Linked DNA regions of Daphnia pulex. The protein of the gene in region 2 interacts with the protein of the main gene of each other region in a pairwise test. Links are inferred from orthologs where the notes say so. Each region holds a gene or a part of one and is shown on either strand. Other genes may lie near its edges. The genes, in order: peroxisomal biogenesis factor 19-like and peroxisome biogenesis factor 10-like.

Evidence for each region.
Region 1: the proteins of peroxisome biogenesis factor 10-like (region 2) and peroxisomal biogenesis factor 19-like interact in a two-hybrid assay, tested with the Homo sapiens proteins (4 studies listed by BioGRID and IntAct, with this or other methods). The link is inferred for Daphnia pulex from reciprocal best matches to the Homo sapiens genes PEX10 and PEX19.

The regions. Positions count from the first base shown.
Region 1 is NC_060022.1:6,085,171-6,088,751, reverse strand, and holds peroxisomal biogenesis factor 19-like, read right to left. Parts: upstream 2,210-3,581; 5' UTR 2,053-2,209; coding exon 1,950-2,052; intron 1,885-1,949; coding exon 1,559-1,884; intron 1,488-1,558; coding exon 1,296-1,487; intron 1,229-1,295; coding exon 1,025-1,228; intron 965-1,024; coding exon 866-964; 3' UTR 751-865; downstream 1-750. Other genes in the region: DNA-binding protein Ets97D-like, read left to right, coding at 1-30, 91-267, 345-709. UniProt on the Homo sapiens protein: Necessary for early peroxisomal biogenesis. Acts both as a cytosolic chaperone and as an import receptor for peroxisomal membrane proteins (PMPs).
Region 2 is NC_060026.1:15,822,098-15,826,120, forward strand, and holds peroxisome biogenesis factor 10-like, read left to right. Parts: upstream 1-1,533; 5' UTR 1,534-2,022; coding exon 2,023-2,137; intron 2,138-2,213; coding exon 2,214-2,371; intron 2,372-2,426; coding exon 2,427-2,678; intron 2,679-2,736; coding exon 2,737-2,892; intron 2,893-2,963; coding exon 2,964-3,185; 3' UTR 3,186-3,266; downstream 3,267-4,023. Other genes in the region: uncharacterized protein LOC124205678, read left to right, coding at 4,012-4,023.

The DNA.
Region 1 (3,581 bases), on a different chromosome or scaffold from region 2:
TCGAACTACTACGAAAATGCAAATTTGTCGGTATTGAATCAAAGTTTGAATTTTTACGATAGCAAACGTGTACTAAAAAGTTTTATGCAGGGGTGATTCAAAAACCAGTGCCTTATCTTCAGTATATCACAACTCCATTGACAGTTAAATCTGATACTTCCAGAATGCCAAGACCGCCTGTTAAAGTTGTTACTCCAGCAAAAAGGATTCCCCTTGAAACATTTTCCTCGCGTTCGTTCTCGATTGCTAACTCAGGAAACCGAACAGGTATTTAAAAAATATAGTATATGTATGCTTTAATGATCAAGGTGATTTTAACTTGAATTAACTTGTCCGTTTCACAGGCAGCAATGGCCAGGTACAACTCTGGCAGTTTCTCCTTGAGCTGTTGACCGATGTGAATTTCCGGGATGCTATTTCTTGGCTTGGGACAGGAGGAGAATTCAAATTAAATAACCCCGAAATGGTGGCTCAACTATGGGGAGAAAGGAAAAACAAACCACACATGAACTATGAGAAACTCAGTCGAGCCCTGAGGTATTATTATGATGGCGATATGATTTGCAAAGTAAGCGGTAAACGATTTGTGTATAAATTTGTTTGTGACCTCAAACAACTGTTGGGCTATTCGGCTGATGAACTTAATAAGCTTGTAACAGAGTGTGAGCAACGATCCAAAATGAGACGGGCAAGTTCGTCATACGTGTAAATACAAAACGTATTTGTTTAAATCATTGAGAATTGACGCCATTAATGATAAAATTAAGTTGTAATGCCGTTCAAACAATTTTTTTTAACGACCTTCTAATACCTTTTATAGCCCAATTTCAATAACAAAAACATGTTTTATAACATACTATATTAATTACATAACAACACAATTTTCGGCACCAGGTCCCATCGATTGAGCAAAATCCGCGCCACCGAAGGGATTCGGTAGCAGTTCAGCTTCACCAGCCAGTTCCTTGAAATTAAGATTTTTCATTAAATGAAAATCAATCAAATTATTCGTAGTCGCACTCACTTTAGGGGGATGGCCACATTCTTGCATTTGTTGCATCAAAGTTAATATCTTTTCAAAGCGACTATTTTTCGTCGCTGCATCATCAGTGTCGTTATCATTTTCGAATTCGGTACACACTTGCTGCATAACGGCGTATTGGCGGTTGTATTTTTCAAATTGCGCAGGTTCTAATTTCGGCCGATTGTCTGCGAGCCAATCTGGGTACTAAGGAGATAACAATAAGTTATGAGAGACAAGATTGACTATCATCAGTTCTCAAGTGAATGCTTACCTTGCTAACAATCTCTTTGATAGATGGATAAAGCAACTCCTTTGATAACAAACTTTGAAGCATTCCTTGCATTGCAGGTAAAATGTCACCCAAACCTCCCATATCTCCACCAGCACCATCTCCAAATCCCCCATCTGGTCCAAATGCCATTTTTTCAAGCATTTTGGCTAATGTAGCTTCATCAGCTTCAGTCTATGGAAAAAATAAGGACATGTTAAAGTAAAAATAAAAAAGTTTGGTTTATCCTACCCACAAAAATTTACCTGAAGTGATTCTGTTCCTTCTGCTAAATAGCGTAGAGTATCAGCAAAGGATGCTCCCTGGTCTGGTTGTCTTTCAAATACTTTAGCTGCAGCTTCTTGTGATACCTTTAACAAACTTTCAGCAAATCCAGAATCACCACTGGCCCCTGGTGCTGTTTCTGCCATCATCAAACGAATATTTTTCTCAAATTCCAAACTCGCTTCTTGAATAAACTCCTCAGACCACACAACATCTGATACTTGATCTGTAGGTGCTGCTGCTTCGGCTTTAACATTGTCTTTTGTTTTGGGCACTTGCAGTGGCTTGTCAAATCCTTCCAGGGCATCTGTTACATTTAATGAATGTTTTATTCCTTTGTTGGCAAATAACTAGTTAGTTTAAACTACATACCGTCAAGTAAAGCGTCTAGTTCTTCGTCATCTCCTTTAGATTCTTCTTTAATATCTGCCGTATCTTGTACAGACTTTGGATCATTAGAACCGGTTCCACTCATACTGAAATGTATCTATTTACAGCAAAGTACAGAATTGTATAAGTAGAAATAGATTTCGATATCAATAATATCGACACAGGCTTCAAAACTTGCTCATCCGGAAATTTCGACAAGGAAAAGAGTGCAAGACCAGACAAGACGACGAAATACTACCTCATAAATAAAACGCGATGTTGCCGAAATCATTCGGTATTTAGTGATGGTTCGTGCGTGCGTGAATGAAGCAGATGCGCTTCATCATGATTCATGAATGCTTGTTTATTAAAATTATATTTGGCGTGAAAAATGAATTAAAACAAATCACTTTTTTTTTAGGTTTTGAATTTTGCGTCTTTATTGGGAGAGTAAAATGTATTTTTTGTTCTGAATAACAGAAGCGACTGCTCATTCATAAATATTTTCTAAACCTAACAGTAATATTTCGTAACATAGTCAAAATCAAAGATTTCCATTAGGGCGGTTGCTTTAAGCTTAGTCTTGCTTTAACAAATGAAAACAGAACATCGAACATGTCGTTATATCCCGTTGTTACCAGTCGAGCAGTCGTTACCATCCCGCCTTTGCTTCAAAGTTCAAATCAATTTCACTTACCTGCCAGACCCAAATTAAAAGCTATGAAAGAAGGAATTTTGAAAAAGTACGTTCAGTTGGTAAAGGTAATATGTCTTCCGACAAAATGACAGTAAAAATTGTGATATTCTATAACGTACACGGTGGTCTGCCTTGCCGCAATAGTGCTTGTCCATTGCTGATACCAAAATCAATACATGAGTAGTAGTTTTCACTGATCCTCCAATATCTTGCTTCGTTTTATTCTTCCTCTTCTCTTCTTCACGAATTGCTGTACTACCGATTCTGGAATGACACATCGCGAATGTTCACCAAATCAAGAAAATTCACCATCTAGCCTACCTGGTATGATTTCGAGATGGTGGAGTCATTTTTTTTTTTAAGGCAAACTTCAATTGCTTAAAAAAATAATTGACACATAATGTGTTGAATGCTGATAAAATGGAAATTCAAGTATGAATCAAAATGAGTGAACTTAAAAAAATGCAAGTAATGCATCTGTATTTCATTCATTAAAAATGTAAACATTCAACATGACCTGCACCAACCCAATTTCACCCCTGATACTAGTTAATAAAAAAATTTTGGTTTTAAACACGCGATCCATATTCTAACAGAGTTTTAAATCATTTTAGATAACAGCTTATAGCTGTAACGGATTAATAACCTTTATGTGATAAAGTTACAGGACGAACATTTAGGCTGCAATTTCTATTGGTAATGAATTCGGCTGAAGTTCGTTTGGGGGACATTTTTACTCTTTAAAAAAGACACAGTTTAACCACTGTTAAACGAGAACAAATGATCATAGCCAAATGATTCGTAGCACCTCCTAAGTACTAATAAGACCGGGGAAAACTGTATGGGTGCTCAGTATTTGCATGTAAGGAGAAACGATACACAAAAAGGAGAAAAGCACTGGAAGAGCACTTCAAGTTTAACGTGGAATTAAAAATAAA
Region 2 (4,023 bases):
GATTTTTTTCCTATTTCTTCTCCCCTAAAGAGAACCTTAAAAAAGAACCTGAGGCTCTATGGAAAAAGTGGTCAGTCTGGTATAAGAAGAAAAAAAAGACGCAAGTTTTTCAGCCTTGAAGCCCGCGAGTGATGGATACCACCACGACGGTGGTGGTGGTGATGATAATAATTATTATACAGGCGCTATAATATCAGGGAAATGAATCAAAAAGAAATGTTTTGTTCTCTTACCCAGGATCGTTGGGTACTTCGGTGGTGTTGTCGCCATGCTGCGACTGCGAGTGAGCATCCATGTTGTCCATCTTCTTTCACAAACTTTGGAAACCTTAAAAATCAAGAGAATAAGAAAATTAAAAATTTTGTCAATCGCTTAGTTAATGAAACAAAAACTCACTTGTCAAAAATAAAACTTTTTTCTATTTGATTCCAGCCGAAATAGCCTCGCCACGTTGGTTGATTAATTGATTAGATTCCTATCCACGGCACCTGTGCCCGGGTTCCCAAAAAGTTACACAAGGGCTCGGATGACTGCAACAAACAGAAAATAAAAAAAGTTAAGTTTTTTAAGGGGGGAAAAAAAGATAAAAAGTCGATCGATCGACATTCCACAATGATACATTTATAATCAGATTACACAAAAATAGTGGGTCTAGAACCCTACATATTTTTTAGGCGAGTCTAAAATATTTTTTCCAAAAAAGAGAATCAATACCTCGGGAGTTTTTTGGAAGGTTGAAAATGTTCCAGTCGGAATTATTAAAATTTTCTCTCTTCTGACTTGTCTGTCTGTGTGTGTGTGTCTTGGATTACAGCCGAGAGAGAGAGATAGGGGAGACGCCGGGAGGAAGAAAAATCAAGAGAAGGAAATTGAATGAAGAAGTGGAGAGACGAGTTCACTTCTTCTACAGTTTCGATTAGGACAAGAAGAGCAGCCAAAGCAAAACGGAAGTCGAAGGGGATTGTTTTGTTATTTGGTGTGTGTGTGTGTGTGTAAAAAGAAGAAGAACGACGACGACGGCGAGTTTTTGGAGAAGAAGAAGAGAGAAATATATGTGTGGGGGGATTGACTTGTATACACACTCGCACACACTCACTCAAACACACACACTTTTTCGCTTGGGGTGAATGATTTTTTTGAAAAAATCTCAAAAGTAGAGGGGATGGATAATATATATTAATGAATTAAAACTGCTGATCAAAACTCTCTGCTTGTTTAAAGATTAATTTTTTTAATGATTACAGCTCGACTGACTGATTCCTACACTGAACAACTAAAAAAACTACCGGAGATGAACTCCTCCGGCCTGTTTCTGCAACGCGCGAGGGCACTTTACACACTGAGGGCAGCCATTGCTAACGCCTCTGTAGTAGTAGTTGAGCTCCTCTAGTCTATTTCCTCCTAGTTGTCCACAGGGGCTTCTTCCTTCCCCCCCAACACCACCCTCTCTGTGTATTTTACAAGCAGTCGACAGCTACTCGCACGCCATCTAACGCTCAACATTGCCACTTCTCGACGGCTACACGTCAAAATAGTTTTACGCCATAGTGGCCGTCAACGCAATTAAATAAAGAAGCTAATCAAAAGAAAGTCGTGTAAAATAATATACTGATAACCGTAATAATCTTGCTCGAGGCCAAAAACCAAGTCGAAAGAAAGTTGCTATTTAAAAAATAAGAGTACACAGAAGCAATAAAAACGTTTGTGTGTGTCTATGGGAAAGACCTACATTTTCACTTCTTGTAACACATCGACGTACGACGTCGGGCCGGGTCTGCGCCGTTGTGGTTTACCATAGAAAATAACAAATGGCCTTGACCCGATTGTGTCATCATCTACACACGGGAGCTTCAAAGGTCACTCTCTCGAGTCTCGCTTTCGTTGGAATGATCACCATATTTATTCATTCCCCGGACGTCTAAACCAGTGGATGGTCGCCACCATTTGTCCGTCCTTTACAACAGGCTCTCCGTGAGAGTATAGACAAGTTTTTTCGATTGTTTTCTTTTTTTCTTAAAAAATATGGCCGTGTTCGTGGAAGCCAATCCACCCGAGATCCTTCGAGCCTCCCAAAAGGATGAGTCTTATATCAACACCATCAAGAACGAACTGGCTGACATTGTACAACGTCTTTTCGGTAAACAACTGTTTTTAAGTGGAAATTTTTTCTAGCAGTGACCTTCTCATTGTTTACCATCTTGCTGTACACACAGGAAATCAGACATGGCTGAAGGTCCAGTGGCTATCGGACCTCACCTGTGTCTTCCTATATTACACCTTGACCACCTTGTTGGACAATCAAACCCTCGGAGAGGAATATGTAGGGCTCATACAAGTCAATCCAACATTAAGGGCTCTTCCCTCTAAATTGGTAAATAACAATATAACAAGCACTAGTACCTGACATTAACAAAGTTTCTATTTAGACAAGGCTTACTGCCATCACTCTGCAAGTATTAGGACCACGGCTGTTCAGTCAAGTCATGAAAAAGCTGGACACCTGGCTACGAAATCCAGAAAATATCCCTGATTTAACACCCAAAGCCAGAGATTACATTTTATTGCTGACAGAGCTGATTCACAGCAGCAGTTTTTGGGTGGGGCGACTCAACTTGGTTTTATTCTACATGTACGGGAAATACTACAGGCTATCTCAGAGAATGGCCAAGATCCATTACGTAAGACTGCATTAGATTACAAATACCCAAGCAAATTAATCCAATATTCTATTTCTAGGTATTCGCTACAGACTACTTGAAAACAGAAAATTACAACCCAACATTCAAGTTCATTGGGCAAATGGCCCTTACACACCTTGTTCTACTTTTACTTACAAATTCCATTACCAAATGGAAAAATGGCAGTTCCAAAAACAATTCCAGTGCAATTTCGGTAAGTATTTCTCAACAAAATTCCTTTCCATTTTGAAACCCTCATTAAAGCTAAGCAAATGCTAAACACAGGTGGTGGACAGTTCTAGTGAAAAATGTGCTGGCACATCACCCTCGACAACAGCGAAATGTTCCCTTTGTTGGGATTCAAGAAAAAACACAGCCTGCACCCCATGTGGCCACCTGTTCTGCTGGCAATGTATTTTGCAATGGTTGCAAACCAAGCATGAGTGTCCTCTTTGCAGAGAAAGTGTGCAACCTTCAAGAATTGTGCCATTATTGAATTATGAATAATCTATGTCAGAGTCCAAACAGCTATTTTGTGAAAATGTTTTGCACAATGTGTTGAAATAAAACTCGCTATGTTTTTGACGAGCCAGCCTTCTTCATTCAAAAATCCACATTCGTTCGATTTAAAAGGGAATCGCGTCTTAGATCTTAACCAGAGGAGACATTTTACGAGACACAAAGAAGAGATTAGTCAAAAAGTCTAACCTGAATTTATCAGAAGATTGTAATATCGTCATCTAGACAAACAGGCTGTCTCGTTCGTCGGAAGCATTTTCTTGAATTGTCACGTGCTTTTTCCCTAAAGAGGACACAGTCAGACCCAGGGTATCGAGTACGCACTAGTCCACAACTATTTTGTATTAAAATATGGCTTCAACTGACAGCACTCGACACCTAGCGGCCAACTAAAACATTACTTCATGGGAAATTTTTAAAACAAGATGGGCAGCAAATCAACGAAATAAATCTACTTTCGCCGGAACGGAGATCGTGTCGAAAAGAAAACATCATAATGACTCGTGTCTCCTTTTACCATTCCAGTACGCGGTAGCATTTTGACCTGGAAAAAGAAAGAAAAAACGGATGAGAACGTTTCAAACGACTGAACATTAGGGCGTCTCCTGTTTAATATCGTTCCGAAACGACGGGAGGAAGTTCGACATCAGATGGGGAGAAAGTTTAGAGCTTCTTTCTCTTTCAGTGTTTTTTGAGTATGTAACTGAGAACCCTACAAGTGTTAAGTTCAGTGTCTCATCTTCGTGGCCAAACGAATCATCTCTCTGATTGTTATTATTGCAGCTCTAACCACGTCAGTTATTTTACTGGAAATATGCGACGCTCG